4 linked regions of the Alligator mississippiensis genome follow. Each later gene encodes a partner of the first gene's protein in a complex. Links are inferred from orthologs where the notes say so. Each region holds a gene or a part of one and is shown in the gene's direction. Other genes may lie near its edges. The genes, in order: CDC45, GINS4, GINS2 and MCM3.

Region 1 (7,234 bases):
AAGAGTACTACTGTACTAGCACTGAAACATTGTTCTGTTCTAGCTTCAATCAGCTACAGAATATGACTTATAATCTTCAGTTGGATAGTGCATTAGAGTTTCTCTAGACAAGTGGTGTACTGTACTAAGGAAAAGATAAGAGCCCTTAGCTAGAAAAAAGAACAAAAATGGTCAAAACACCTGTCTTCTGGGAGAACTAAATAAAGGGAACAAACGCCTCATTTTGTTGAATGACCATCCTTTTTCTGCCTTTCAAATTAACTTTGTGAATTCTCATTGCCCAGTAAAACCGAGCCAGCAAATAAATGGAGTTATTTGTAAGCATAAATGTAAAGGAGGATAAATTACTTCATAAATATAAACATTCACATTATGGTCAAGCAGCTGTTGGAAATTTTACAGTCTGCCTATCATTTGAGCAACATGTAGACAAAAACAAATGACTTCGTATTTATTATCTTTTGCTGGATGTATTGTCTAAAATGTTTTGTTTCAATATGGGATCGCCCGGCATGTCTTGATTTAAACCAGACCTTAAAGAATATGCAAGTCTGTTACTTGACTAAGCATTTATCACAGCCTTATTGTCTGATGTTTTTAACTGCAGAATAAAAATTACTTACTCAATTGATCCAAAGCAGACGGTGGCATAATTACTGCAGAAATTAAACAAAAAAGGTAAAGTAAGATTAGGAACAGCACAGCTATGGAAGACAATATAGTATACAGCCTTATCTTTCCTTTTTGTCAGGCAGCACATCACAGTGGTACTGACTTCAGAAAAGTAATTTTTCAAATTACAAAAGAAGTTAATCTAGACAAACAATATTCACTAGCCCAAAATGTATATTTTATTTTGGAGACACAGGTGAAAGGAGAATATAAAAGTTTTATGGGACTTAATATTAATAAATATGCTTTCCACAAGTAATTTTTTTTTGGTTGGATTCATTCATTCTTCTGAAATGGGGACAACTCAAACATCATGAGACAGGACTGACATGACAGCCTGAAAGTAAAGCGGGTATATCTATTTTCTTTGATCAAACTGAGTGAGCTATCAAGAAAGTAATAGAGGAAAAGATTTTTAAAGCTTATGAAGTTTACATGACACATTATTAGGGATAAGGAAAAACTTTTGTGAAAAAAATAAATAGTAGATCTTTCCCAATTTATCTCTACGTAAATTAGTAACAACCCCAGCATCAGTTAACTTATACTAGTGTTGGAAAACATGATTTTGAGTTATACAGTGCCCTTGTTACTCAAGCCACAAAACCAACACATACACATGTGCTTTTATGCTCGGGGCCTAACACTGTTTCTCCAACCACTTTCTATAAACAATACTAATGAACATTATCATTCACATGTAACCTTCAACAATGTAGTATTCAAAATAAAACATGCACATACTCTTCCCGCCTTTCTCCACATCTGACCTGTCATTAGGTCCTGCAAGCATGGACACTGAGAAGCAACGATATTGAGTTGAGAAACGGTTCTGGAAAACTCGGGGTATTGGATGATCAAACATGTTAAAAGAAAACTAGAGGAAGAAAAAAAAATGACGAATATTAGCAGCCACCATCATACTAAGATTTCCAGCCAGTTGTTCATCAAGCCAAAGCCATTGTGATAAATAATGTGTACTTATTTTTCCTGAGACCTAATATGTTCAAGAAAGGTACACATAAAAATACAACACAAAGATTAGTTACATGCATGTACCAATGAACTTATGAAATAGGATAGTGGAAATTCAGCTATGAATTATTTCCACAATTGCAATTTGACTGTTTTTACAAACTAAAGCAGAACAGACTTCAGTTCCAAGTTAAAAATATACATGCTAGAGATCATTGATTTGTACAGTGCTGTAGCAGTATGCTGTACAGATCTATCAGTGTACAATCAACAAGGAATAAAGTGGCTACAATTTCTTCTACATTATTCATCACAGGACCAGCAGCTTTGCAAATGTACATCAAGTTCATGAAAAGAACACTAATCCTGACCAGCTACATTAAGAAATTGAACATCTGATAAAATGATGAACACTGCATTACGTTTCCAGAGTGCCACACACAACTTAAAAAGGTATTAGAAAACAGATTAAAAGATGGATCAACAAAAATAAAATATGAACAACTTGGAAAAAATAATGCAGATGGTAAAACTTCAGACCTCAAACGAGCGAGTTATGCACATGCTTCAGTTTCCATACACACATTATTCTATTAAATTCAGTGTAGCTACTCAGCTGCATAAAGTTAAGCATGTACTTAAACATTTCCAAGACTGTAGTTTTAATGATTGCTTCCTAAAGACACTAGCAATAATACAGGATAATTACAATAATAATTATATGAAGAGTAATTAATAAAGTTAAGCAAGTAGCAAAAGGCTCATTTTCTGGGACAGTTCAAATAATACTTAGAAAATGAAGTGTAGGGCGCTGTTAGGAAAGACTAGCCATTTTAACCATTTTTCCCCATTCTTCAAGCTCAGACAATGTGGGGTACCAGGTTTAACAGCTTCCCATATCCTGAAAAATTCTTCTCTTTGTTTCTTTTACAAATCAAAATACTAACTGGATACTCAGTGAAAAAGCTGAACAACTTTTACCTCTTTCTGGATTTAATATCAAGTTCTCAGCCACACTTCTAAACTGAAGAAATTAGAAATAACCATTGTAAGTGCTCCACACTAACACTGCTAGGCCCATAGCCTTCAGGCTCAGTTTATGCATCGTCATCTCTCTATGGGAAAACACGCAGACATAAGCCTTAAATGTTGGTGAAAGAATTTCACTCGTTCAGACCCAACCCCGGGCACTGCCCTCCTTTAGCAGAGATGTGGTTAAGCCACATTAGACTGAAGTCAAGCAGAAGGCAGAGCAGATCTGGCACCTTATAAACTAAATTACTGTTGAGAGGCACAAGCCTTTGGGAGCCGGAGCTCACTTCATCAGAGGTTTCATCACATCATCATCTGATAATGATGATGAGCTGAAACTCACCAAAGCTTGTGAAGTAACTCTTTGTGCCCCCCCCCCCCAAGATCTATAGCTAGACAGATAGATATCTATATATCTTTATACACATAGATATATGTTTCTGTGTGTGTGAATATATATATATACACACACACATACATGCACACACATACATATATCTATATTTATATATGTATATCTATATTTATACATATCTATATTTATATACACACATATCAATCTCTCTATATATCTATCTATATTGATTATAATATAATATATATAAACAGTGTGTGTGTGTGTGTGTGTGTGTGTGTGTGTATATCTGGAAATCTCTCACTCTCTAGATGTCTGTATGCTTTATGTATTGAGAGAGCTACAGCTACCTATTTATCTATAGATCTAGATCTATGAGTTAGTCTCTAAGGTGCAAATCTACCCTGCCAGGCACTGTCCCCCACTGTAGGCAGGGTGGTCTCCCCCGGCCCGGCCCGGCCCCTCCCAGGGGAGGCCGGGAAGGAGGCAAGGCCGCGAGCGAGGAGCCTGAGTAGGGCCGCGGGCGCGCGCTCCGGGAGGGGAAGGGGCTCTTTTTGGAGCCTTTTCCCCTTCACCCCTTTCCCCGCCGAGCCGGGGGGGGAGGCTCCGCCGAGCCTCGGCTGCCCCCGAGCGAGAAAGGCTGCGGCCGGGCCGAGGGGCGGCGGCGCCTCCCGCCCAGGATGACTCGGCAGCGCCGCCCCGGCCCGGCCCGGCCCGGCCCCGCGCTCACCATCGTGGCGACCGCGGCTCCGGCTCCTGCGGCTGAGGTGTCCGCGAGTGCCCGGGCAAGTCAGGCTACGCCGAAACGTCACCCGCGGAACTCCTTAGACGCTCGAGCCCCTGCCCGTCCGCACTACACTTCCCACAATGCCGCGCGGCTGGAAAGGCACAAAAAGCCTTCATGTCCGCCATTTTGAGTGAGGGCGGAAGGAAGAACCGCGCCCGACTCGACCTCAACAACGTTTCGCCGATTTTGTTTTTCCCATTTCTGCTCTTACTTGACTGCATATTTTTTGTAATGCCCCGGGCTTTTCTCGGGGGGGTTCTAAGAGGCGGGAACAGTGCCCTGCCCACACTAAAGATGGCGGAAGGGGCAAGGCACGGATAAATAAAATGGCCGCTCTTCCAGTCCCCCGGGTTGTTTTGGTCACGTGATCAGCTTCGCCCACGGCGATTGGCAGAGGCACTAAGGAATCGGCTGCCCGAGCCAATCAGCACTGCGGAGGGCGGGCTTGCGGGGCGGGAGCCGAGGCCAATAGGGACAGACGTGATTTGGCGCCTGGTTTGAGTGCAGCGGGCAGGCGCCGGCAGCGAGACGGACACGGACACGGACACCGGGACCATGTTCCTGTCCGACGTGCGCAGGGAGTTCTATGAGGTCATCACCACCCAGGTGGGATCCGCTGCGGGGCCGCCCCGGGGTCTCTGATTCCCTGAGCGGGCGGCGCGGCGCGGCGCGCTCCCGGCGGCTCCTTCGGGCACGTTACGTTTATGGCGCGATGGATGAAAACCGGCCCCACGCGCGAAGTCCGTGTCACGCCATTACTGCTCCGTGGCGCGATCCCCGCCGCACACGCGGGGTCCTTCTCCCACGCCAGAAATGCCGGTCTGTGTCCGCGGCCGGGTTCGCGGCGGCGCGCTTGGACGTGGTACCGTCCGCGGCAGCTGTTCTCGGTCGTTTTGTGTTATTCAGCATCAGGGTTTTCTAGTTAGGCCCCTGCTGATCTGTAAAAGCGGCGGGGTTGCCTGTTTGCAGGTTATTGCAAGCCAGATCTTTTTTTTTTTTTTTCCAGCATCATGTTATCAAGTCAATGCAAATGTATTATTTTACCCTCGTGTAAAATGCGGGTTGTTTGTGTCCTGTGGTGCGGTGTGCGTTTCCCCTGGCCTGTGCCAAGAGGCTGAATTAAACAGCAAGAGCCAGTAACGTGCAACGTACCATGTGATCTTTGGCCAGTCCCTCTTTCATAATGACTTGTCCCCTGTCCTTATTTTTTACAGCCCTTAGACGGGCTCATGCTCTCATTCCCACTGTTTGCATTCATGCGCTTGTTTGATATCACCTCTACCGCCAGTCCTGATTTGACTTGAAAGATTTTCAGTCTTAGGCGTAGACACTGAAGTTGTTGGAAATGACTGTGGGGCACGCATCGAGTATCACGTATTAATGCTGTTTTCTAATGTTTTGCAGCGTGTTCTTCTTCTCGTTGCTTCAGATGTAGATGCATTATGTGCGTGTAAAATACTCCAAGTAAGTGAATGTTTGTCCTTATTTTATATACTGCTAACAGAAGAAAATGTATGGGAAAGAGTTTAATAAAGAAGTGTGGAAAGGAACGTGAGAGGGAAGTGTTAACTTTAGTTTTAAACATTCAGTGTTTTATTTATGCTTAACCCTTTTTCGTCCTACCAGTTATGATGCTGGGATTTCATGATAATTCCTATTCAAAGTCTTGCATGGGAGTATTTTTCAGAAATATAGTAATTGTTACTAATTTTCTTCATTAGCAAAACATTTCTTGTTTGCTTCTTTTTAGGCATTGTTTCAATGTGACCATGTACAGTACACATTAGTTCCAGTGTCTGGGTGGCAGGAACTTGAAACTGCATTTCTTGAACATAAAGATCAGGTAAAAAAAACAACAAAAAACCTCACCTAATGAGAGATGTGTGTATGTAACATTGCCTCCTACTTATCTGTAATTTGAAGTGTCCTTTTTTTCACCCCCAGTTCACTTCTAGGTTCTTAGGTTGATATTTTTGTGGTTAGCTAAAATAATACTGAATAAAGTTAGGTGGATGATGGACAAATGCTTGGCATATTTCCCATATCCTGTTCTTGTCATGTGCCACAGTCTCACCTAATTTAGCAAACTTTAGCAAAAATTCAGCAAATGCTTCTGCTGTTTCAGTTACAGAATTTCTTTTGAAGTAAAACTTGCAGTTGCCCCAGTCTGTGTGTGGTTTAGATCAAGTTTTGATTTTTATAAACTGAATTTGTATCCATCTTCAACTGAGAAAGTTGTGAGCATTCGTTGTCTGTACAATGAAAACTAAAAGTACATTATCCTTCTATAAAAACGGCCTTTATTTTTTTCCCCTCAGTTTCCTTAACCAAGCTGCCTGAAACATAACTGTGTACAAAGTTAAATACTTTGGAGGTAGAATAGTTCTGATAATTTCTTGGTTTTATTCTCCCATGTAACCTATTAAATTGGAGATGCCTTGTTTTCTTTTGCAGTTCAAGTATTTTGTTCTTATAAACTGTGGTGCCAACATTGACCTACTGGAGGTTCTGCAGCCTGAGGAGGACACCTTTTTCTTTGTTTGTGACTCCCGCAGGCCTATCAATGTAGTGAATGTTTACAATGATATGCAGGTAAATCCAATTGTCTAAGATGATATGCAGTTTAAATTGGCTCACAATATCCAGTAAGTGAGCTATCATTTTTCTATCCCTTGCAACAAAGGTGATTTACCACAGCACAGTAAGTTTACTTCTAGATTGTATTGGTTGGAGACTAAATAATATAACTTTAAATTATGAATGCTGAGAGATTTATACTACAGTGCTAGACAGCTTCCCTTTAACAAATATATTTTTCACTGAAAGTCTACATTCTTCAATGTTATTGGTGCTATAAATATAACCTTGTTGATAAAGGAGAATAAACATTTCAATTTTTATTAATTCATAAGGGCAGAAGGTAGATCTTCTAGCTTGTCACTTGGGTTGATCACCTAATTCATATAAAGCAAAATCTTGGTGTCCTAGTAGGAACAGATCAACTCCAGAGTGAGTAAATTAGTCTTCTGTACTAAGAGGAACAACTAATAGAAATTGCTAGGTTGGTCGAATATAAAGGGGTTTTTAGGTTTGATTTTTTTAAAATGCTTCTTTTCTTCTTAGATTAAGCTGTTGGTTAAACCAGATGATGATCTTAACATTCCTGCCTACGATGACATCTTCAGAGATGAGGAGGAGGAAGAGGAGGATTCTGGGAATGAAAGCGATGGATCAGAACCTTCGGGGAAGCGCAAACGATTTGAAGAGGTATATTTCTTACAGCATTGTTCTGTGCAGGGGAGGGTGGAAATTTATATGTATACCCTGTTCTACAGAAAGTTTGATACTATTGCTTTGGTGTCGTTTGCCTTTGAAACCCAAACAAAGTGGATTGTTACAGAAGGTAAAATAAG
Region 2 (7,822 bases), on another chromosome or scaffold:
AAAGAAGTGACTAGACTTTGGTGAATAGAAATGTAAAAGGTAACTGAGCAGGGGAAAAGGCTACAGTAAAATTTGGCTTAATGTACAAACAACCCGTGTGAATGTTGGCAGCCTCAGAGCAATATCATACACTGAGGCTAAGTGAATGCTCATTAAAAGGCAAGTCAGGATGCAAAACCAGAAATTGTGTGGGATGTTTAGAAATTTAGCAACACTTCTCATCTAACAGCTGATGTGATCAAAGGCTCTGCTAGCTAGGTTTTTGTCATTTGTCAGTTGTCTTCCTTTTCCTGTAGCACGTTTTCTTAACAGCCGTGCTGTGCAGATTGAAATCACCATTTATGAAGACAGAGGTATGAGCAGTGGAAGATAAAACCACGGACCCCAAGGTAAATATTAACTTTGCATTACATGTCAAATCTATAACCGGCTTCTGTGCATTCAGAAGACATAAACTTTCCCCTCCCCTGCCGAGACAGAATGTTTATCCAACCGCTGCATGTAATCATAAGGCTCTTTAAATAAATCTTCTGTGTGGATGAAATCTTTAAATCCCAGCGGAAGATGTAAAAATATCAATACTTGGCAGCGTGCTCCTGAATGGTAATGCACTTCAGATGATGCCAGATTTCACATTGATGAAATCCAGATTTTAATTATGTAAACATGTATAATCTTAAATCTGATTTCTGCTGTACTGTGTCAGAAATCATTATCTCACAGGTTGGATAGACCCACGAATTCTGATTCTGCTCAGGTTTCCCTCCTGTAAGTGAAGCAGCTCAGGACTTTAGGCTTAAGTTTGAACTCAGTCACTTACTGGTTCATCAGCTGTCTTGGGCCCTGGAATGACTCTTGTGCTAATGGCATGCGATGACAGGGGAGCCCATGCAGTCCACAGCGTGCGAGATCCCCAGCAGGTCTCGCAAGCTAAGAGAGTCAAGCTAGGTCAGTACATGGGTGGAAGACATTCAAGAAAAATCCCTTTGCTGTTAGGTGTGGCATGGGTAGCTTAGTCACTGCTGCTTTTCCTTCTGAATCAGTGCTGAGCCAGTGCTGCAGCCCGGAGCTTAGGTCTTCTCCGCTGAAGCTTCCATCTTTAAAGCAGTTTCTAAAATTGAAGCCTAAAGACTTGGGGTGCATTAAGGATCCTCTAATGCTTTCCATAGGAGTCGGGGTACTGGGATTACGCTTCTGGCAGAACCCCAGACTGAGTCATTCTGTTCTCCCTTCCCTTTGTTTCCATTTTGCTTTCAGCCTGATGAAGTATTCACTTCCACTGCTCGGCTACAGCTGCCTTCCACTCTAGAGGTGGCTGAATTCACCTGCCATTTCCCTCTTGCATCTAAAATGAAGTCGTGGCACCTCATATTTGTAAATCTCTTGGGCGCAGGGCACACAATGTGCCAGCAAATAAGCTGCTTTGTGCCTTAGTAGGAACACTGCAAACAAAAACAAAAAAATCAGGTTGTACGCAGCCTGGCATATCAATGAAGGGGAGAAATGCCACAGACCTCCTCTGGGCTTTGCTAGGTGCCTATAGAACTGCCTCTTGGTAATTACTTGGTCATGACTAATCCAGATGTACCGTCTCTCTGACTCAGCCAGGACAAGAGTTTTCTGGACAGAAAGGCCTGAGACTCTTGCTGCTGAACATGTATTGCTGACAAGTTCTGCACTATCAAAATACTGTAACAGTTGATTCCACTTCTGATTAGAACGTCCTATCTGACTTCTCTGGCTGTTAGCAGTCAGGAACTCGATCAAGTTCGTGGCTTATGCTTGCTGCCATTGGAACAAGGTTATGTTTTATCAGTTGCAGCTGCATCTATTTGGCACAACCCTTTTGTCACGACTCATTTAATGGCGATTACTGCAAACTGGAATGTTTTTCCGAGATGATGCGGGTTTTGAGGACACTCACACATGAGCCTGCTCTATCCGTGTTCAAACAACTGTGAACCTTCTCATACTGGAAAAGATTTACATTAGGAACTTCTGGATAGTTTCATGAATTGCAAATATTTTGGTTCAGCACCACTTTGTTTTCAAAGCTGTAGGCAGACCAGGAGCAAGCTCCACACAGAGTGGGGCCTAAGCAGGGGTCTGCCTTCCCAAGTGCAAGCCCTGCACCTGAAGCCTGCAGACTGTCGCAGACAGCCTGTTTACGCTGGCCGGGAAGCTGGTCCGGGTTACATACACAGTTTAGAGAGAGAATCCATAACCGTGGGAGACTAGAGCTCTGCTAGGAAGAGGGTGCATCTCTAGGCTACATGCTAGGCCTGTGCAAAGGCGTCTTGTGTGGTTCTCTGCAGTGCTGGCTCCTAACCTGCTCCAATTCTCTTTGTTTTCCAGCCCCCGGCTCAGCAGTGGACTTGCCGCATCAGAGCGTTCCCCTACCTCCTCTCTAGAGCATCATTCCTCTCTGCTGCCAGACCTGTGGTGCCATCTACTTACCAAGACTAACTTTCTAAACTTCTGGCTGGTCAGCATCCATTTTGTGGCCTGTGGCAAGCTTTAAGCAATGGGATCATCTTGTTCGTTTCCATGGACAAGGAATGGGCAAAGTAAAGCTGTTGCTCTTCAGCAAGTGAACTGGGCAGTTCAGCCCAGTGGGAAGCAGCTGTTTCCCTCCCCACCAGTTAAATCTTCCGACACGTCAGGCTGCAAGTCTGACGTCAGGGAGTCTGTGCCAGAAACAAGGCCCACACTCCAGTGCAGGGCAGAGCAGCCTGCAATACACTCACTGCACACAGTGCCTCTGCCTAGCAGGAAGTGACTCGAGGCACAGAGCAGTCTCAGGTTCCTGAGCTGACGCTCACCGGGAATTTAATGCAGAAAGGTTTTTCTAATGATTTAGTTGTTTTTCCTAACCCCCGATAGCTAGTATTGTTACTGGGTGCTTTGCTGGTGCCCTGGGAATCTACTGCTGTCACTGGAGTTCTCCACACTCGCGGGAAGAGACAGTCTTGCTCGTTCCCTTCAACTGTGTCAGTACAATAAAATGGATGCTGAACCAATACATGTAGCCATCCCTACTCCTCCCCTGAAAGTTAATATGTAAAATGTAATGAACTGTTTTGTTTCTATGGATTTATTATGTATAATTTATAGCAAAATGTTGATTTGATGGATTACTCAATAGTGTGTAAGTTGGTTTCTTAATTCGTGCTGCTGGCAAACTGCTGAAGAGCAGAGCTGTGCAGTATGCCGTATTTCCCATGAATTAACATTCCTCAGCAATACCTGCTACGCTACCTTGGGCATCTTCTGAGTAAAACTTCCACCAAACAAAATTGGCCTAATATTTTCTGTTGTCTCCCTCTCCTGTATAACATGAGATCTTTACTTAGGCTGGGTTAAACTAGCATGGCCCCCCTGGTTGGAGAGCCACTGTCCATTGTGGGACTTGTAGAACAAGACAACTGCTGCAACTAGGTGGAGTGTCGAGTTTTCAGTGATACTGTAGGTGCTAATCCTGGAGTGGAGATTCCAGGCTTCCTGTTCAACCACTTCTTTCTTTTTTTTCCCCCTCCTCTTTGAGATCTGTTTCCTGTTTTAATTGTACAGAAGACTTTTTCTTTGTCTCTCTTAAAATGTAAAAGTGCATTTGCCTTTTGCACCTGTTGCAATAATTTTGCAGAATTATTAATGGATTAGTAAAATTTTCTTATACTGTGTCTGTGTCCTGTTTGGTAGCACTGGCCTGAATAAAAGTACTGATTTCCTCTAAACAAAAGTGATGGCTGGTAACCAACTTTAAGCCATGTGAAAGTGCACACCTTGCTCTGTTTCTGCTACAATGACTGATGCAGTAGGGTTGGGTTTTATGCTCTTTGTTGGAGCTGGGGACGGAGGGGTGTGCTTGTGTGCATCAGCAACAACCCTGATGAAAGACAGGGGAAGCCCTCGCACTGAAGGGGTCCTAAATCTGAGCCAGAGTATTTACAGGCTGGGGCTCTCCATAAGAGCTAATATTTCAGTTTGGAAAGGAGCCATTCATGAAAAGGGGAGGTTCCTCCCCTACACACATCCTAGTGCGCAGTCCCTCCCCAGCAAGGGGAACGCAGAGGAGGAAACAAGACTGGCAGCAATAGCAGTCAACTCCCTGAGTGGGCTGGGAGCTAACAAAATCTCCCATCCAATTGCTCTTTTTTTTTTTTTTTGGATCCTAGAAAGGACTGGAAGGGACCGATAAGACCATCAAGTCCAGTCCCCTGCCATGGGCAGGACGTAATTGGGCTCGAACCAACACAAGGTATTTGTCCAGCCTCCTCTTAAAGACCAGCAGAGCCGGCGACTGACTGCACCACCCCTGCTGGAAGCCTGTTCAGAGGCTAGAGATTTTAAGTGACCCAAGCAAGGTGCAAACACTGACAGCAGGGCAGAGCTGGCCTGGGCCGCGCGCAGCACTGCTGGGAGAGGTGGAGCGCCCCGCCAGGAGGGTGTTTGTGCCCCAGAGCTTGCAAAAAACTCTCCTGCTCGTCAGTAGGTGTAATACAAGAGATTATATCTACCCCCAAAAAACTACCCCCTCCTCCACGTTTCCCTTCCACTGGGCACCCCAAAGGAAAGGGCCCTGCTGCGGCCCCCGGCCCTTGCTCCCTTGGGAAATGCTGGAGAGGACGGCGGGGCCCATGCCGAGGGTGTCTCGGCCCGCCCCACACCCAACGATGCGCACAGGGCAGCCCCTTAAAGCGAGCCACGGACCCGGGCAGCCGATCGCGGTCTGTCCGTGCCCCTGCCCCGTGCCTCTGCCCCTGTGCAGCTGCGTGCATGTGCATGTGCATGTGCACATAGCCGCTCTCCCCCACCCGGCCCCGGTAGTTGAGCGGCAGCGGGAGGCGATGCCCTTTTAAGCGCTGGAGGAAGCCGCGCACGGGCCCGGGGGCGGGGCTCATGCATATGCACAATGCAAGCCCCGCCCCCTTCACGTCACGCTAGACGTCAGCAGCAGTTGGCGGGAGTTCGGTCGCCGGGATGGCGGAGAGCCCGGACTCCCCCGATCCCGCCGGGCACGACTCGGACGGCGGCAGCGAGGAGCTGGTGCTCACCCCGGCCCAGCTCATCCGCAGCCTGGAGCAGGTCGGCGGGGCGGGGCGGGGCGGGGCGGGGCGGGGGGCGGACGGACGCCGAGGTTACCTCCGGGCCGGACGGGAGCGGTGCCAACCCGGGAGCCGGCCCCATGCTCACCCCTGCCCCCCGCCAGGCCTGGCTGAACGAGAAGTTTGCCCCGGAGCTGCTGGAGAGCAAAGCGGAGGTGGTGGAGTGCGTGATGGAGCAGCTGGAGCACATGGTAGGTGGCAGCCTGCAGAAGTCGCCCAGTGCTCCGCTGTTGTGGGCACTGCCTTGCAGGGTCCGCACCACTGCTGGCCCCGGTTCCTTCGTGCAGAGCAGGTGCAAGTGTCCCGCGGGCAGGGAGAATGGCCCACCCGCGCTCCTGGCTGCTGCCTGTGCCACTGGACTTGGGGCCTGCGCTCGGATTCCTCTGCCGGGTCCCTACGCAGGGAGGGACATGGTGCCTCGTACCACGGAGCCATGTGACCTGCCCTTTCCCGCGGTTACGCCTTGTGCTGTGCCCGCAGGAGTCCAACCTGAAGCGAGTCAAGGGCGTGGACCTGAAGGTTGGCATCCACCGCATGGAGATAGAGCGCATCCGCTATGTGCTCAGCAGCTACCTGCGCTGCCGCCTGGGGAAGGTAACACCAGGAGGGCAGGGAGCAGGGGCTCCCGCCTTCCCGGTGCTCTGTGCTGGGGAGAGGCACCCCGAGGCTGGGGGCTCAGTGCTGCTGCGAGCGGGCCTGGGCAGCAATGGGTCCTGTCAGCGGGCTCCAGACTCTGGGCTGGGGGAGCTTTGATGGTGGCAGCTGACGGTCTTCCTCCCCTGGCAGATCGAGAAGTTCTTCCCCCATGTCCTGGAGAAGGAGAAGTCCCGCGCGGACGGGGATCCTTCCATCCTGTCCCCGGAGGAGTTTGCCTTTGCCAAGGAGTGAGTTGGGCAAGGGCAGGCAAGCCCGGCACACACCTCCTCCTCATGGCATGCACCATACCTCTTCCTAGAGCAGCCTTGGCACCCACGAGTCCCCTGGGGCCCACCGAACTGCAGAGAGGCCGCAGCCTGGACAGCTTGCCACTTCCCTCTGGCGTGAGGCAGCGGGAGCCTTGCCTAGGCCCAGGGCTTTGAGCAAAGCCAGTGACCCAGAGGGGTTGGGGAGGCAGTATCACTTCTGCTGCTCAGTGCCCTGTGCCAGGGCAGAGCCCCTGGCAGTGGGAAGGGAGGAGGCTGTGCCCACTGCAGCGGGTACACCGAGGGGGACTGCATCATGGGGCACTGCCCGGTTGGGGCAGCCAGGCTGCTGCTGCTCCTGACCCCGTGGGCACGGCTGGGCCCAGGGATACGTGGTGCTGGCTGCTGGCACCTTGGGCCGGTTGTGCCAGGGGTGGAGGTGCCCATGAGCCACTCGTTGCAGGTACATGGCAAACACGGAGAGCTACCTGAAGAGCGTGGCACTGAAGCACATGCCGCCCAACCTGCAGAAGGTGGATCTCCTCCAGGCTGGTACGGGCGCGTGTTGGTGACCTCAGAGTTTGCCAACACCCAGGGGCCGGGGCTCCGGGGAGATGCTCGTGTCCGAGCACCGCCCTGCTGGTGCGCACTTGGCACGGGGCTGCCACCCCGGCATGTCTCCTGTGCCACGGACGTGCACGAAGGGAACACTGCTAAACCCCCCGCCGGCCTGCCTGGCATCTTGTGGGGGGAAAGCACTGCTCGGAGGGGCCAATAGGGGCGGGCTGGCCCCTCAGCGCCCTGCTTCCCACGCAGTTCCCAAGCCTAACCTGGACTCCTTCGTGTTCCTGCGCGTCCTGGAGCGGCAGGAGAACATCTTGGTGGAGCCTGAGACCGACGAGCCGAGGTGGGGCGGGTCAGGGGCTCGGGGCATCCCAGTAGGCACAGCCAGGCCAGACCCCTGCCACCCCAGCGGGCGCCACCGCCTGCTGCATGCTCCGTGGCTGCGGGCCTCTGACCAGGTGTCCGCCCTGCAGAGAGTACACCATCGACCTGGAGGAGGGCTCCCAGCACTTGATCCGCTACAAGACCATCGCGCCCCTCGTGGCCTCAGGTGCCGTGCAGCTCATCTAGGGCAGCAGCAAGCCCCAGCGCTGGGGGGCCACCCAGGGGCCCTGCAGGGGGCCGAGGGACCTCTGGGCACCATGCCCTCGCCTGCACATCATCATTACTATTATTATCATTATTATTGTTATTATTTTGTTTTGTTTTGCAAACACCAAGTTAGTTTAATAAAAAACGTCACCTCAGCGCTGGCCGAGCTCCGCTTCGTTTTCCCGCCAGCCCCGCGCGCGGCGCCCGCACACACGCACACACTGGGCGCCGCGCGCCACGGCCCGGGGGCGGGGCGCCGCCCGCGCTGCCCATTGGCTGGCGGCCTCGCCCGGCGCGCTGACGCAGCACGTGGCGGGGGCGGGGCCGGGCCCGGCGGCGGCGGCAGGTGAGTGACCCCGGGCCGCTCCCCTCCCCCCGCACGGGGCCGTTGCCCGCGCAGTGGTAGCGCCTGGCTGCTTCCCCCCCCCCCAGCACCCCGGCTATGGTTGCGCCCCCCCCGCTCAGAGGCGATGGCCCGGCCCTGCCGCGCACCCCCGCCCCGAGACGTGGCACAGCCCGACTCCCCCCCCTCCCCCCCCCGGGCGCGCGGGTGGTGCGTCCCGCTGGGGCCCGCACGTGTGTACGCACGGGCATGCACCGCCCCCCCCTCCCGGGGCACGCGCACGTGCACGGCCGCCTCCCTCGCAGCACCTGGGACAG
Region 3 (7,493 bases), about 59 Mb from region 1:
AAAGTGTGGGGCCCTGGGCAGTCACCCGGTTTGCCCTCCCCTGATCACAGAAATGGAGAAACTTGCATCTAGTCCACCCCTGCTCTGAGGCGGGATCAAGGATCCTGATATGCTTGTCCAAACAATTCTCAGAGCCCTAGGGTGGAGGAGATGTCCCGGGGCAGGCTGCTCCAGTGCTTAACAACCCTCTACATTAGAAAGCCCTTCCCAATATCTAACCTAAATCTTCCTCGGTGTAGTTTTAGACAATTTCTTGTCCTAACCCCTGTGACAACCCCTAAAGGAGCCCTGGATAGATGGCAGCCCACTGCGTAACTCTTTGGAGCAAAAAGGCATCACGGGTACCCCAAGGCAGGGGATGTAGAACAGCAGCAGTGTGCCTTTGAGCTGGGGAAAGCCTGCAGGCTGAGGAAGCAGCATTATCAGCAGCCAAGCTGGCTCCTGAATTAAAGGTCAGGATGAATGTGTGACAGAAGGTGCTTATCAGGCACAGACATCTCCAGGCCTACCAGCCTTTGCAGGGCTGCCCCTGCCTACCACCAGTTAACCAGCAGGAACCAGGTTCAGGCTGCAATGGCAGGTTTAAACAGGTTCATGGAGACCCAGGTGGATATGAAGACCTGAACAGCCTCCCTTTCTCCCTTTACACACAGAAGGCTATTTGCACAGGAGGCATGTGAAAGCCGGCTTCAGGGGTGTGGAAGGGAAGTGCAAATCAAGCTGTTGTGGCATTTGAGGCTGGAAATGGACCCGAAACTGAACTTCACCAGTGAACGATGGAGCATTTCAAAGGTAGAGACAGGCTGCTTGCTCTTCCAGCTGTTTCAACCAGCCTGTCTGGCTTTTCTACGTGATGAAGCTGCTGGGCCTGAGAGAGGAGCCCTTCAGAGACTTGTCTGCATTAGGGGTTTTTGTGCTGTCTTTTTCTCTCCCTGCAGAGGGTCGGCCAGGATGCAATGGGTTTAAACTGTAGCAAAGCAGGTTGAGACGAAATTTCAGAGAAAAGTGTCATTACTGTCGGAACATCAGGACAGCGGTGCAAACTGCTGGGGGAGGCTGTAGCATCTCCATCCTTGGAAATTTTCAGGAAGGGGATGGATAAGCATTTAATACGGATGGTTTAGGAAGAGCGCATTGTGCCTCTGTGCTGGGGGCTGGACTGGATGACCCCGGAGGTCCTATTCAATTCGATCAGTCTATTATTTTCCCAGGAGCAGCCACTTTGATGAGCATTTCCAACTGCAGACATCTCTCTTGGTCTATTTCTGGAGGAGCAGAGCAGTTCAGTGCTTTCATTATGGGGTCTAATGAAGGGCAGGGGCTGCTATGAATTCCAATCTTGGTTGCTGCCGTGGAGCGAGCTCGACCTGCTGGCACAAATCTACTGCACTGGTATATAGCAAGGGAGCTGGGAATGCCTTAAGTCCCACTAAAACCTGGTTTTAATAGCCCTCTTCAGCAGAGTGTATTTAGAGCTAGCAGAACCCAGGGCAATGCTTACCCAGCAGATTTCTCGTGTCACGGAGATGACAAGATTTGCTCCTGTAAGACAGCTGTTGTTTTTTTTTTTAAGCTGTCAAGATCAGAGCTGCTCAAAACCTGCGGATCACAGACACTGATGGTTTGCCTGACGCGGCTGCTTTTTGCTTCCGGGGGAATTTGAAGCCCAAGATCTGGAATATAACAGGGGAATTTGCACCTCCCGAGTTATGTTCCAGATTTTGGGCTTCAGACTGAGAAATGTCAAAAACCCAGCTCAGGTGACATGAGGCAGTTCTGGCGCTGAAAGCAGGACTCTTGCACTAGAAATGGTGGCGAGGTGGTAGAAAAACAGCTAGCAAAGGTTTCCAAAACCACATTCATGTCCCGAATTTGTGCTGCCAGCTTCCCCAAATGTAAACACTCACAGTGGTCAGTGTCTCTCCTAAAACTGAGCTCCTGGAGTCATGAGACTGCTCAGTTTCCCTTTGAAACCCATGGGATGTTTTTAACCCTCCTAGTAGTGGATAAAATCTGGACAAATGTGAGGTCTGAAGTCTCAAAAGCTAGAGGGGGAATAACAAGGACTGCAATAAGATATTTGTGAAAAACCTTTTCATTTTCAATTGATGCTCAAGATTTAAAGGGGACCAGGTAAGGATGTTTTCCAAGTGGGTGATCCCACTGACTCCAAGCTAGGCAATAATTGGTGCCTTTGATGTTCACCAGGGATGCAAAGAGGTGAATAGGGGTGGAAATCTAAATTGCCTTCACCCCTCCAGAGGTAGCTACCAGCCCTTCTACTCCTCATGTTATTGCTGTTCTGCCAATATGCAGAGTTGCCCCCCAGAGTCACCCGTCTGGCACTTCTCACAAACACAAAACTCACTTAATTAAAAAAAGAAAGGGTGTGGGATAGGGAAGCCATTTGGGAGCCATAACAGATTAATCAATACAAATCAATCAATAGGAACTATTGGCAGCTGCCGCTGGGAAGACAGCACTTAGATTTGAGGGTTGTTTTTTTTTTATGGACGGGTAAAGTGGAGAGAGAGGAAATCAGATCCAGACATAACAAGGCCTTTGAATGACAGCCGGAAAATAGGATTATTATCATCACCGCAACTTGGGTACTATCATTTTCCTTTTTTATTCATGCAATGCAGAGTGGTTTGAGTCTCAATTCTAGAGGCCCCGATCTGAGCAAGAGAGTGGTTTGGGGCAGGGATGAGATGGCAAGAGGAAAGAAAAGGGCTCCCTGGGAAAGACTTTTTTGGGGGGTGGAGGGGTGACGGGGACTATACGCCGCATTCGGAGCCTTTTTATTTATCCTGTTGCATCGGGGTTGCTGCCCGTGCTGGGACAAGCTGGAGGCAAGGCAAAGAAATAGATGGTGTTTTGAACAGGATCACAAAAACACACCATTAAATAGACCTGTCACTGCTAATATTGTTTGAAGGCTTTCTGTTTCCATGACGACCTGACATCCTAACAGCCTGGCTGACGGCACTCTAAATCACTCCTGGATAAAAGCTTTTATTTTATTCCCCCCCCCCCCGTGCATAACTTTGGACATTAACATCTTCGATGTGTCTTGACGGGTTTTTGTTGCTGTTGTTATGCTTCATCTTAAATCCGTCCCGGTAGCTGAGTGTTTGGGGGTGGCTTGTCTTTTTAATTAACAAGCAACGTCTGGGTCAGAGGTAGAAAAATACCTCTTGCGAACACTTCTGGGCTGTAATGCCTGCACAATGCTCAACAGTGGTTCGGCAGATGGGTTGCTGTTTGTCAAGCTGATCCGTGTCAACGCCTTGTGTCCCCATTTACTCCACACACCTGGCTGTTGTGCCCACCTGTTGCCTATGGGCTTGCACTTGGATGATCAGCTTCGTGCCACGTATTTGGAAGAGGCACAGGCGGCAGGGCCTTGGCCTCTACCAGGGCCGCACACGGGCACGGGCGGACAGAAAGGGGGCCTGAAAACGGTCATTTTAATTATCGTTATTAGCGTTACCTCTGGCGAAGCGGGGTTTGATACTAAAAGTTCGCCCCAGGGCCGCCAGGAGTCTCGGTACGGTGCCTTGACCGCTCGTAATAAATACTACGAATACATTCATGAATTAAAGTCCACCCTCTCTGACCCTAGGCCAGGCCGCTGTGGGAAAAACCAGGGAACAACGTTGCAAAGCTGCGGTTAAACAAACACAAGGCGCGTCTACACGTTCACTAATGCGCAGTAGTTTAGTCCTCGCTTCATGGAGGACAGGCAACCCCCCCCCCCCCCCCCCTTGGTGCTCATCCGCTACAGCGCTCGTTTTAAACGGATACAATTAGCACTCGGCGAGTCTCGTTATAATGCTCAGGTCGTTAAAAACTCTCGCGGTCGCCGTGTCGGATGGTTAAAAAAAATTTGGAGAGTCCCCCCCCACAACCTCCCGCCAGCCGGGGGGGGGGGGGGGGGGGGGGCACCTTTTAGCCACATTTGGGGACACCCTCCAGACAGGATTGGTGTGATATGGCCGTGAGGGCGGAGGCGTGACAGACCCCCCCCCCATAATGAATTGGGCTAACCTAATTAATTGGGTTAATTGCTGGCATGGAGGGGGACTCAAGCCCCCCACCACTCCTCAGGCTGAGGAGATGTGGGGGTGCTTCCCCCCCCGGAGGACTCTCCCCTGAAGTACAAGGTCTATGACACATGGCGGGTGGAGAGGAGGGAAGCACCATGGCAACTCCCGCGCCTTCTCCACACTTCGCCCCGCCCGCGCGCCCAGGGAGAGCGCTGATTGGTCGATGCCTCCTCAGGGAGAGCCGCGATTAGCTGGAAGGCTCCCCGGCCCCGCCCTCAGAAGCCGCGCCTCAGCCAATCCTCGAGCGCAGGAGGGAGCCAACCCGCGGGCACCGCGCGAGACAAGCAGCCAATCGGGGGCGCTTTGGGGTTGGAGTCCAAGGGAGGGGGCGGGGCTTCCCGCGCGGCCAGCCAATAGGAGGGGCTCCCCGGGCGGTTCCGGTTCCGGTACCGGTTCCGCCCGCCCGGCGCCGGGAATGGACCCGGCCGAGGCCGAGTTCCTGGCCGAGAAGGAGCTGGTCACCGTCGTGCCCAACTTCAGCCTGGACCGCATCTACCTCATCGGGGTGCGCCGGGCCCGGGCTTGTGGGAGGGGCCAGACGGGGCGCCAGAAGAGAGGGGGCGGGGAAGTGTGGGCGGGGCCAGGGGAGGGACAGGGCAGATTATGGGGGCGGGGCCAAACTCGCGGGAGGGACCAGAAGAGAGGGGGCGGGGCCAGTCTTGGGGGAGGAAAAGGGGCGGAGTCAGAGGGCGGGGTGGATTAGGGGCGGGGCCAGAGGGAGGCATTTTGGGGGCGGGCCTTGTGAGAGGGGCCAGAGGGGAGGGGTTGAGACAATGAGGGACAGAGGAGGTGGGAGAGGTCAGCTGGGAGGGCGTGGCCAGAGGGGTGGGCGTGGCCAGCAGGGATATTGAGGGGTCCCCCCCCTCCCAGGGGTGCCCTAGCAGGGCCTGGCCCCAAGCAGCCCCTGACCCTGTGGCTCTTGCAGGGAGATCTGGGTCCCTTTAACCCAGGGCTGCCCGTGGAGGTGCCGCTCTGGCTGGCCATTAACCTGAAGCAGAGGCAGAAGTGTCGCCTGATCCCTCCCGCATGGATGGACGTGGGTAAGGAGACCGCCCGCTCCGAGCTGGGAGCTGGTCCGTGGGGACGTCCTGCAACGCTCCTTCCCCTCCTTTAATGGGGAAATCCCTGGAGCGAGTGAAGGGGGCGCAGGGCCAGCCCCATCCTCGCTCCCTGTGCCTTGCTTTGGGAAGATGGGGATGCCACCTGCTTTCCTGAGCACCATCGCTGGCGTGTCGCGGGCTCGGGCGTTAATTGCTCCGTCACCTCCCTGTAGCACCTTCCCCGCGGGCTGCGTCCCGAGGGAAGGGTGCCTGTGGAGCGCGGAGGCGCTCTCATTTACTCGGGATCGTGCGATCCCGCGGGGCATCGGGAATAGAAGCAGCCCTGACACCACGCAGCAATGTTGCTGGGTGGAATAAGGGCCTGAGCTCCCTCCGGTTCAGCCAGCGTGCGGCTGAGAGCAGGGACAGGGACGGTGCCTCGGTGCTGCTCCTCTCGCTGTCCGACCTCCCTCTGCGCTCCCGAGGGCACAGAATTGATGAGCCAAGATCAACTTGGCAGAAAGGTCCCCTTGAGGCCTTCTCCCAGCATGCGGAGCTGACTGCCAGTGCCTCTTGCCCTCGTTTTGGGTTGAAGGGAGTTACTTTCTGCCTGATGAGCTAGGGCTCCCATGGTAAAGCTGCCAAGGGTACCAGGACAGTCTCCCCTCTTGCAGGAGCCGTCTCCACCTGGTCCAAGGGGGCTGCTTCTGCTGGGAGGAGATAAATCCAGAGCTGTGGAGCATCTGGCAAAAGCCTGACTGTCCCCAAATGTGTTTCAGAAAAGCTGGAGGCCATCCGGGATCAGGAGCGCAAGGAGGACACCTTTACCCCGATGCCCAGTCCCTACTACATGGAGCTCACCAAGCTGCTCTTAAACCAGTAAGTCGCTTCCTTGTGGCCAGGTGGAAGTACTTTCTTCCCTGGGGAAATACCCAGGAATATGATGCTGAAAAACTAGTGAGGTTATAGGGGATGGAGTTGCAGACCCACAGGGAAGCGTCCTACGCAGAGCACGTCAGGGTTTTGCTAGAGCACTCGGTTTATCGCAGCCGTTGGATCTGTTCACCCGGTGTCACTGGTTACGAAGTCTGATCAGGGCTCCCGTGCTCTGTCGAGGGGCGGCTGAGTGTACTGACCTTGGGCGGAGAGGCCACACGCTCTGGCTTTGTGCAGACCCTCGATTGCTGCCGGAGGCCCAGCAGCCTAATCCTTCCCAGTCTGCTGCCTTCGTGCTGTCCTTTCCTAGCCCGGTACACGCAGGTCAGGGATATCCCATGCAGGACTCGCGTCCCCTGAAACATTTCCATTGCACACAGTCTGCTGGCCAGTAATTTACTGAGCACAGACTCTTCTCTCCTCAAGCCCCTGCTCACGGTCACTTGAAGCACTAATTGCTTCCTCCTGAGATCTCAGCAGATCCCATCATTGCATTACAATAACCTGTGGCTGTGTTCGTGTGAGCTGCTTGGATCTCTGGAGGTCTGTGGGGCTGTGCCAATGGGTCCAGCTCACTTGGTCCCAAAAGCTGTGGGGTCGGTAATGAGAGCACAGTGCCGACCTCTAGCTCTCATCACAGCCAAGCCATTTAAATTGGCTGTTTCTGTGTGGCTTTGGCCAGGTTATTGTACCTCCTTGGCCTCAGACCAGCTGGGCTCTCACAGAGCAGAAGGACTATGCTGCCAACCAGATGCTGCTGCAGAGTTCAGATTTCCTGGGTAAATAAACGATCCTGAAAAAGCCCCGGCAGCAGCAGCACCAGCTTGGCTTTTAGTGCTGAGTTCCTTTTTTTTTTCATAAAGCAAACTGCTCTGCTTATGCCTCCGAGGTTTGAGAAGCTGCCAACATGACTTATGCCAGTGACTTAATGTATTAGTCCCTTGCAGCCTGTTCTGATCCGCGCTCTCCTCCTCCTCCAGCGCCTCAGACAACATCCCAAGAGCAGATGAAATCCGAACGCTGGTGAAGGATACCTGGGACACGCGCATCGCAAAGCTGCGGCTGTCTGCGGACAGCTTCGTCAGGCAGCAGGAAGCCCATGCCAAGGTACGGGGTGGACCGATAGGCTTGCTAGTCCCTTCCACGGGTGGCCAAGGTGCACTGTGATTGTGCAGGTCTTTGGCCGATCAGAGCCACAGACAGACGTGCCAGGAGTGGCTCTTTCTCCCGCTGCAATAGGAGCATCTGTCAGTCAAGAACTAAAGCCATATGCTTAAGCTTCCGTTTACGGCCAGGCTGCAGCTCCGTTTGCATGATGACAGCGGCACCGTTGTCACGTTCCTCTCTGCTGGGCCTGCCCCTTGGGATGCAGCCAGAGGGCATATGCACCTCTTCATTGTTCAAGCGG
Region 4 (7,348 bases), on another chromosome or scaffold:
TTTTTAACCCTACCTCTTGTTACCTGGAGGCCTGGAGCCATAGTTTCTTTTGACTTCTCAGGATCTCCGCCACCCTGCCCACGTGTATGCCCACTGGGGTGGGGAAGGGTTTGCTCTTCCTATCCTAACAAAAATGCAAGCACGAGGGATTTACAGTTCCACACCGCTGTGCTGGGGATAGCCAGGCTGCAAGCTCAAAGCAGAAGCCACCAGCCACTAGAGGTAAATGAGACTCGCTGGGCATGCTTTTACGTGCACCTAAACTTAATGCACATTTGCTTAATGTGCATTAAGGTGATTTAGGTGTGCGTCTACACATGCACACACACTAATGTGCATTAATGCAGTGTGTGGACCAATTTGAGATTAAATTTAGTCCAGAATCAGTCGACATACACAGTGTTAATGCACCTTAATGCTGTATATGCCATGTGCACATTGCTGTGTATGTCACACGCGTGTGTCAATGCTCTGTCTACACGTGCATGAATCTGCTTTCACTTTTGCAGGTATCAAATGTAGGCGTGAATAGCTTAAAATTGCCATTTTTAAGGTGGATTAAGGGCACACACGTGTAGACCCATGCCCTTAATGAACCCTAAAAATTTCTAACGTGCCTTAAATTGCCACATGTAGATGCGCCCGCTGTTAGCAATACAGGACTTAGGGTACATAATAGAGCCATTTCAGTGCCAACCAGCAGAGGACAGTTGTACTAAATCAGGATGCACAGCCTTCCCTTCTCTCATGCTCTCTTTGCACAGACAATAATAAAAACTGCACACAAGGGGAAAAGCAGTATATAGCAAAGCCCAGGTCAAGCCTACACAAGCCTACATCTAGCACAGCAACTATTGCTACAGTACCAAGCCTATATGGCAAAGCCCAGGTCAAGCCATGGCTTGTGTACTGCATGTGTGGGTTTAGGGGCCATACTGTAACCCCACAGATGCACCGTGAAGTGGCTTCTAATACAGTGGACTGCCTGCTGACTCCCTGCTTCATCGGACGCTCCTATGTTTTTTGGCTGATAATGAAGGCTCGATCCATTCATTCTCACGTGTATCAGGCCACAATGTATTATCTGTTGCAAAGAGAGGAACAGCACTGGCAGTTAATGTCAGGGTCAGATAATGTTTCTAAACTGTCCCAAATGTCCTCTTGCAACTAAATCCTCCAGCCAAATAACAAGCATCTCATTGTCTTGTCTGCTCATGTGTCGTCCTAACAAATGCCTGTCCTTTGCTTTTACAGCACCCATCAATTCGTTCCAGGTTTTGCGATTTTTCTGTACACACACACACACACACACACACACACACACACACACACACACACACACACACACACACACACACACACACACACTTCAACTTATTCCTGTGTGTTTGGTCTCCTGCACAGACCCCATTTGGCACTTCTTGGTTTCTCAGCTATAAAATTGTATGGCTCGGTCTGCTGTTATTGCTATCAGTGGTAAACTCATAGGAGCATCTGTGGAAGCATTAGTCTTTCTATTGTTGCTGCTACTGTTCTACCGTGTGGGTATCCAGGACCCTAGGTGTGCATGGGACTTGCCAGAGATAAGGACTTGGGGTCAGCTCCTTAGGGGAACCAGAGCTTTCTATCCCCTCTGATCCTGCAGGCTGCTCAGAGCAAGATGAGGTGTCCACCCAAGGCAAGGTAGCCTCATATAGATGCTCTTACTTGAATTGGCTGGAATAGCCTTCTGTGGCTTTCCACTCAGCCTGGTCAACGCGTTATGCCTACACACTTTAAATATGTCCTCTCCGCGATCAGGACCAGGAGCAAGTGTATAGTCACCGGTGCTGGGATCATGTCACCTGGGAGATTTCCTTATATAAAGAAATCTGCAGCAAGCTCATTACAGCAGCTTTCTGTCTGCTGCATCAACAGAAGTGCCAGAGGCAGAGACCAGAATCTACTCAATGGTCCTGATTCAGTATATTTTGATGGTACTGGTTCTCCGCCATCAGACGGTTGGTAGGAATACTTGCACTGTTTCTATTCTGATTCAGGGACATTTTCTTTTGACCAAGCCTGTGCACACATTTACAATACTGCAGCATGCAACATATGGAGAACCAGGTTCAGATGCACTGTCCCAGTCATCTTCCACCCTGGGTCAGCTCCGGCCCTAGGCTGGAGGCACCATAGAGGATCAAGGAGGGAAGATGCACTGACATCGTGAATTCACTTGTGTTACATGTTACTTTTACAGCCCATTAGTCTCGAATTGCAAAGATCAGCTTGGGAGTCTAAGACCCCAGGCCTGCTTCTCCTTCCAGTAACATGAGTGCAGCCCCATTGAAGTTACTGCTAGGAAGAGGAGAATGAATCCCGTCCTAAGAGAGATCAGGGAAAGGGACGGGGTTGAGGAGGGATGAAAGGGGAAAGAGGGTGAAGGAGGCTTCAGAGCATAGACTCAGAGAAAATGAGGGTTGAAGGGACCTCAGGATGTCACATCGTCCAACTCCCTGCTCCAAGCAGGACCAGCCCCAAGTAGATCATCCCAGCCAAGGCTTTGTCTATCCAGGTCTTAAACACCTCCAAGAATGGAGAATCCACAGTCTCTCTGGGTAACTTGTTCCTAGTGAGAGAGTTTTTCCTAATATCTGACCTAAACCTCTCTTGCTGCAACTTGAGCCCATTGCATTTGTTCTGCCATCTGCTACCACTGAGGACAGTCCAGCTCCATCCTCTTTGTAACCCTCCTTGTGTAGGGCAGAAAGTTTCCAGCTATACAGAGCAGCAAGAGAGGAAGCAAGATGGACATGAAGCGCAGGCTGCAGAATTGATGTAACTCAGCATCTGAATATAGGTACTTGGCAAGAAGTTCTCCATTTACTCCAGTTTTACACTGGTCAAGCTCCACTACTTCGTTTAAACCAAGGGAAGAGAAGAGAAGCTGAGATAAAGAGGAGGGGAAGGAGGGGCAGGAGCATGGAAACCTTGGAAAACGAAAAGCAGGACATTCAATCCAATGTGGAACGAAAGGCAGCAGCGGTTAGAGGAACAAAGGAGTGGCATGAATACCCTCCAGGATTCAGGGTGACACCGGCTGTGAAGCAGATCTCAGCAGTCTCCAGGCAGACCTGATGCTGATATGTAACCTGGCAAAGAAACCAGATACCTTTGTGGTGCCCACTCATTTGTTCAGGCAGGCAACCCACGTGCTCACTGCTTTGAAGGGGATCTGCTCCCTCTAGCGGGATGAAATGTGAACGAGACCTCTGACGGACTGTGTTACACAGCCGATAATATCCTGCATGGATGTTTATTCATGCCATCCTCATCACCGCTGCTTCCTTTTATAAAAGCCTAGACTTCCCAGTCCAGCACCAGAGATCTGTTGTGCTAGGAGAGATGCACGTCCACTGAAAACAATCCTTCCTTCCTTCCTAAGGGCAATTACAATAAATAAAACAAAATGCAACAAATGCATCCGGGTGTTTTTAAGCCATCATTCAGAGGCATCGGTGTTGACTGCAGCCAGTGCTGGGGAGGTTGACTGGGTTGTGCCAGTGCTCCTGGTGGGACATCAAGCCAGAGGTTCCTGGACGGAGGGTCTGGCCCCTCCGCTCAGGGTCAGATGGATTTGGGGTCAGGCAGGAACTTTACCCCCTGGTCAGATTGGTATGAACTGGGGGGATACTGGTTCCAATCCAGTGCCCGGGTCCAGCATGGCAGCCACTACTTGACCACGCAGAGGGGGGCCTGAGCCCAGCCCTTCAGGGGTGCGAAGGGGGCTTCACATGATGGGGCAGGGATGTGACCCAGCCCCAATCTGGCCCAGGGAGGAGGTTGCATGGCCCAGCTTTTTGGAAGCAGGGGGTGTGGACTGGTTTCAAGCCGGCAGGCAAGGTGTGCAGGGCTTGGGGTTTGGGAATTTGGCAGGAGGAAGTGGTATAGATGACCACCACTCCCCCGCTGCCAAATTTGCTGCTCCATGCGGAGCCCCACAAGCCAGATGCTATGCCTCCATGAATCCCTGCCCCAGGACGACCCATCCAGGGCCTGCTTCTCCCAGCATGCACCTTGCCAGGACCACAACTCCCAGCATGCAACACCCCGTCTCTGCGCAGCGTCCATTGAGCTTAATGGAGGATAGGGCGAAGACTACACATCCCACAATGCCCCTCGCTCCATCGTGTGGCCGAACCCTGCCCCAGCGACTTAACGTTCCGCGCGCGCTGATTGGCTGCAGCGCTGGAATGTTGGCTGCCCGGCCGGCTTTCTCTCCCATTGGCCGGTGGCTCCCGGGCTGGCCAATGGGAGCAGGCGGAACTTTGGCGTCTGGCGGGAAAATGTATCGAGTTTTGGCGCCAGGGGGCGGAGCCGGTCGCAGCGCGCGGGAAACGGCAGCATGGCGCTCCCCGCGGCCGGGCTGGAGGATGCGGAGCTGCGGGAGGCGCAGCGGGACTACCTGGATTTCCTGGATGATGAGGTGGGGAGCGTCTTTGCAGGGGTCCGCTTCGTTAATTACCACCTCTAAATTAATTCTTCCAGCCCCCAGCAAGACCTGGGCCCTCCTGATCACCCCCCTCTTGGCCCTGGCGACATTTGTGATCTCTGCCCAGGAAGGAGGCTCCTGTCGGGAGGACCCTGGAGTCTGCGGGGCCCCTTTCCTGTCCCTCCTCTCAGAGCAGAGTTGCACTGGGCAGTGTCCACAGGCTCCTTGGACTCATGACCTTACTCCCATCCCTGTTTTCTCTGTAGTTGACCCCCCCAAATTAATTGGTGGGCACCCAGTATCCCCCCTAATAATGTGGGGGCTAGCCACTGCTCTGGGGGAGTCAAATTCATGTTAACTGTTTGCATGACGTAGGCCTGTATCGCACTGGATGCTGGACGGGAGAGTGAACTGGGTCTGACCGGGGTTTTTGTCCCCCCCCCCCACACTCTTCCTTCCTCACTTGCAGCCTCCAGCATTTCCGGTCCAGGAAGGCCTGAGTCTGAGCCCCCCCACCCCACTAACCCCCCTGCCCAGGTCCCTTTGCTCCAAACGGGGGTCCGGTCCCTTTTTGAATCTGGTAAAACTCATCTCCTACATCTGGGGGCAACAAGTCCACGCTTGAGTTACATACGGGGTGAAAAGTAACTTCCTTTTTGTGGCTGCAAACTTGCTACTTTCATTTTGTGACCCCCCCCCCCCCCCCCCCCAGCTCTTGTATGGTGAGATAGCAAATCCCTATTGACTTTCTCTTCACCATTTAGTATTTTGTAAATCCCCCCCCTCCCCCCCCAAGCATCTCCTTTCTAAACTGAGCCTGGCTTCTTTAGTCTCTCCTCATATGAAAGCCCCTCCATGCCACTCATCAGTCATCCTTGTTGCCCGTTTCTGGGCTGTCTCTAGCTCTTCTATCACCTTTTTATGGTGAGGGTCCCAGAACTGGGCACGGTATTCAAGGTGTGGACACAGCATGGGTTTGTAAAGGGGTATAATAACACTTTTTATTTTGTTTGCAGTTTGTTCGCAATTTCCTTCCAGGCACCTCCTCAGTTGGCTGTCTCTTGTAACCTTTTTTTTTTGCCTGCAGATAGTCATAGATCTGCACTAAACATTTTTCTGTTGCAAAGACCTCAGCCTACAACAAGGCAGAGTGCTTTCAATGTTCTGTATTCCTCTTTGAGATCTCTTAAGTTTTGTATGTCATGAATCATGTTGGCAGATAATGTCAAGGGTGGATCTAGGATTTTGAAAAGGGGGTGCAGGTGGTGGTGTCATCCTGTATAACATCGCACACAATTTTCTCCAGGGAAAAAGAAACTTTATGAATATGCTCAGGGCCCAAGGCTGTATTATTCAGTTTAGCAAGAACAAATGTAACTGCATTGGAAGGAGTTAAAAACAGCCTGCAGGGCTGTGAAAGAAGGGCTCTGTTAGCAGGAGCAGCTCCACAATTGCAGAGCAAAGGGTAGCTTGGTTGGTGGACTATCAAGACCATTAAAAAAGAGGGTCGTTAACACCTGTGGAAGAAGAGTTTAGAAGAAATCAGGTAGAATATAATGAGCCATGAAATCAATTGGGTCCCTCAGCGCTGCTTGACTAGAAATGCTGCTGTCACTACCAGGCAGCTTGTTTTAAACCTTGGCTGGAGCAAGAAGAAAAAGTGGAGGACACTGCACCCCCCCTGGATGTGCCTCTGAACAGTGCTAAGCTTGTGTGGCACCCTTAAAAAAAGCACAAGGCGCACCCCATGGCGCTGCAGCACCGTGGTTGAGAATCATTGATCTAAGCTGAACACAACATTGCACTGCTTTAAGGGAGGAATGACACCAGCACAGTTGCATATAGTTAATCAACTAAGGATTTTGGGGGGTGCATATAGAGTATAGGGGAGGGAGTTGAGCGCGTGTTCATAATCCTGGCCCTTCCTAACCACCAGGGCATTTGGGGATTGGTGGCAGTTTGGGGCTGGCAAAACCACTGCAGGTTTCTGGAATCAAGCACATTGCCGTTTAAGCTGGACCACGCTCTCGCCTTGTGTCTTTTGCAGGAGGATCAGGGTGTTTATCAAGGCAAAGTCCGGGACATGATCAGCGACAACCAGTATCGGCTGATCGTCAGTGTCAACGACCTGCGGAGGAAGAATGAGAAGCGGGCCAGCCGGTACGTGTGGCCTGCAAAAAGGATCGGAGCATCCCTCCAACTGCACAGTGCTGTCCTCTGCATGTTGGGTTTAGAAGTGACATGGGGAAAGGCATCCCAAGTGCTATAGGATCATAGAAAAGGAGGGCTGGGAGGGACCTCAGGAGGTCATTGTGTCCAACTTCCTGCTCGAGGTAGGATCATCCCTATCTGACCCAGTCAAGTGTTTGTCGAACCTCTCCAGCATCCCAACAACTGGAGATATGCAGAGAGGAAGCTGGGAAATCTGTTGGCTCTCCTGGTAGAAAACTTTGCAGACAGGCCAAAGGGTTAAGCTGTTCTCCCTCCCTCTGTCCAAGGCTGTCTTTTCAGTGGCAAAAAAGGGTTGTCTTTGAAGGTGAGGTGCAACACGTGTGCTTCTTGTTTTCTGCACTTGCACTCAACTCATTTCAGGAAGCAGCGGGCCATGGTCGGTGAACTTTCCTGGGTAGCTCCGTCCAGCTCCCTTGTTAACCCCTGACCTCACTTCCCTCCCTGTTTTCTTTATTTGTCCCAAGAAATCAGCTGATGTGCCCATAATGACCTCCCTTTTTAAGGGGAGCTTATACTTTTCCTTGGTTAACTTAGACCCAAGATCTCCTTGGCACATCAGGTATGCCTTTCTTATGTACTTGCATCTCTCAGACAAGGAAGGAGGCTTTAGCCAGGTTGAACTCGCATGGCTGTGGGGCCATC

The links.
Region 2: CDC45 (region 1) and GINS4 share a complex: the UniProt entries of both Homo sapiens proteins name them as parts of the CMG helicase complex. The link is inferred for Alligator mississippiensis from reciprocal best matches to the Homo sapiens genes CDC45 and GINS4.
Region 3: CDC45 (region 1) and GINS2 share a complex: the UniProt entries of both Homo sapiens proteins name them as parts of the CMG helicase complex. The link is inferred for Alligator mississippiensis from reciprocal best matches to the Homo sapiens genes CDC45 and GINS2.
Region 4: CDC45 (region 1) and MCM3 share a complex: the UniProt entries of both Homo sapiens proteins name them as parts of the CMG helicase complex. The link is inferred for Alligator mississippiensis from reciprocal best matches to the Homo sapiens genes CDC45 and MCM3.

The regions. Positions count from the first base shown.
Region 1 is NC_081833.1:14,712,235-14,719,468, reverse strand, and holds the start of CDC45 (cell division control protein 45 homolog), read left to right. Parts: upstream 1-4,228; 5' UTR 4,229-4,376; coding exon 4,377-4,427; intron 4,428-5,225; coding exon 5,226-5,285; intron 5,286-5,571; coding exon 5,572-5,664; intron 5,665-6,275; coding exon 6,276-6,413; intron 6,414-6,944; coding exon 6,945-7,088; intron 7,089-7,234. Other genes in the region: UFD1 (ubiquitin recognition factor in ER-associated degradation protein 1), read right to left, coding at 624-656, 1,417-1,549, 3,765-3,767. UniProt on the Homo sapiens protein: Required for initiation of chromosomal DNA replication. Core component of CDC45-MCM-GINS (CMG) helicase, the molecular machine that unwinds template DNA during replication, and around which the replisome is built.
Region 2 is NC_081830.1:17,399,129-17,406,950, reverse strand, and holds GINS4 (DNA replication complex GINS protein SLD5), read left to right. Parts: upstream 1-4,941; 5' UTR 4,942-4,980; coding exon 4,981-5,085; intron 5,086-5,209; coding exon 5,210-5,296; intron 5,297-5,585; coding exon 5,586-5,699; intron 5,700-5,891; coding exon 5,892-5,989; intron 5,990-6,470; coding exon 6,471-6,559; intron 6,560-6,823; coding exon 6,824-6,914; intron 6,915-7,044; coding exon 7,045-7,141; 3' UTR 7,142-7,317; downstream 7,318-7,822. Other genes in the region: GOLGA7 (golgin subfamily A member 7), read left to right, coding at 326-373. UniProt on the Homo sapiens protein: Required for correct functioning of the GINS complex, a complex that plays an essential role in the initiation of DNA replication, and progression of DNA replication forks.
Region 3 is NC_081833.1:73,711,563-73,719,055, forward strand, and holds the start of GINS2 (DNA replication complex GINS protein PSF2), read left to right. Parts: upstream 1-4,478; 5' UTR 4,479-4,524; coding exon 4,525-4,614; intron 4,615-5,034; coding exon 5,035-5,149; intron 5,150-5,928; coding exon 5,929-6,028; intron 6,029-7,065; coding exon 7,066-7,192; intron 7,193-7,493. UniProt on the Homo sapiens protein: Required for correct functioning of the GINS complex, a complex that plays an essential role in the initiation of DNA replication, and progression of DNA replication forks.
Region 4 is NC_081824.1:9,001,224-9,008,571, forward strand, and holds the start of MCM3 (DNA replication licensing factor MCM3), read left to right. Parts: upstream 1-4,346; 5' UTR 4,347-4,387; coding exon 4,388-4,468; intron 4,469-6,521; coding exon 6,522-6,634; intron 6,635-7,348. UniProt on the Homo sapiens protein: Acts as a component of the MCM2-7 complex (MCM complex) which is the replicative helicase essential for 'once per cell cycle' DNA replication initiation and elongation in eukaryotic cells.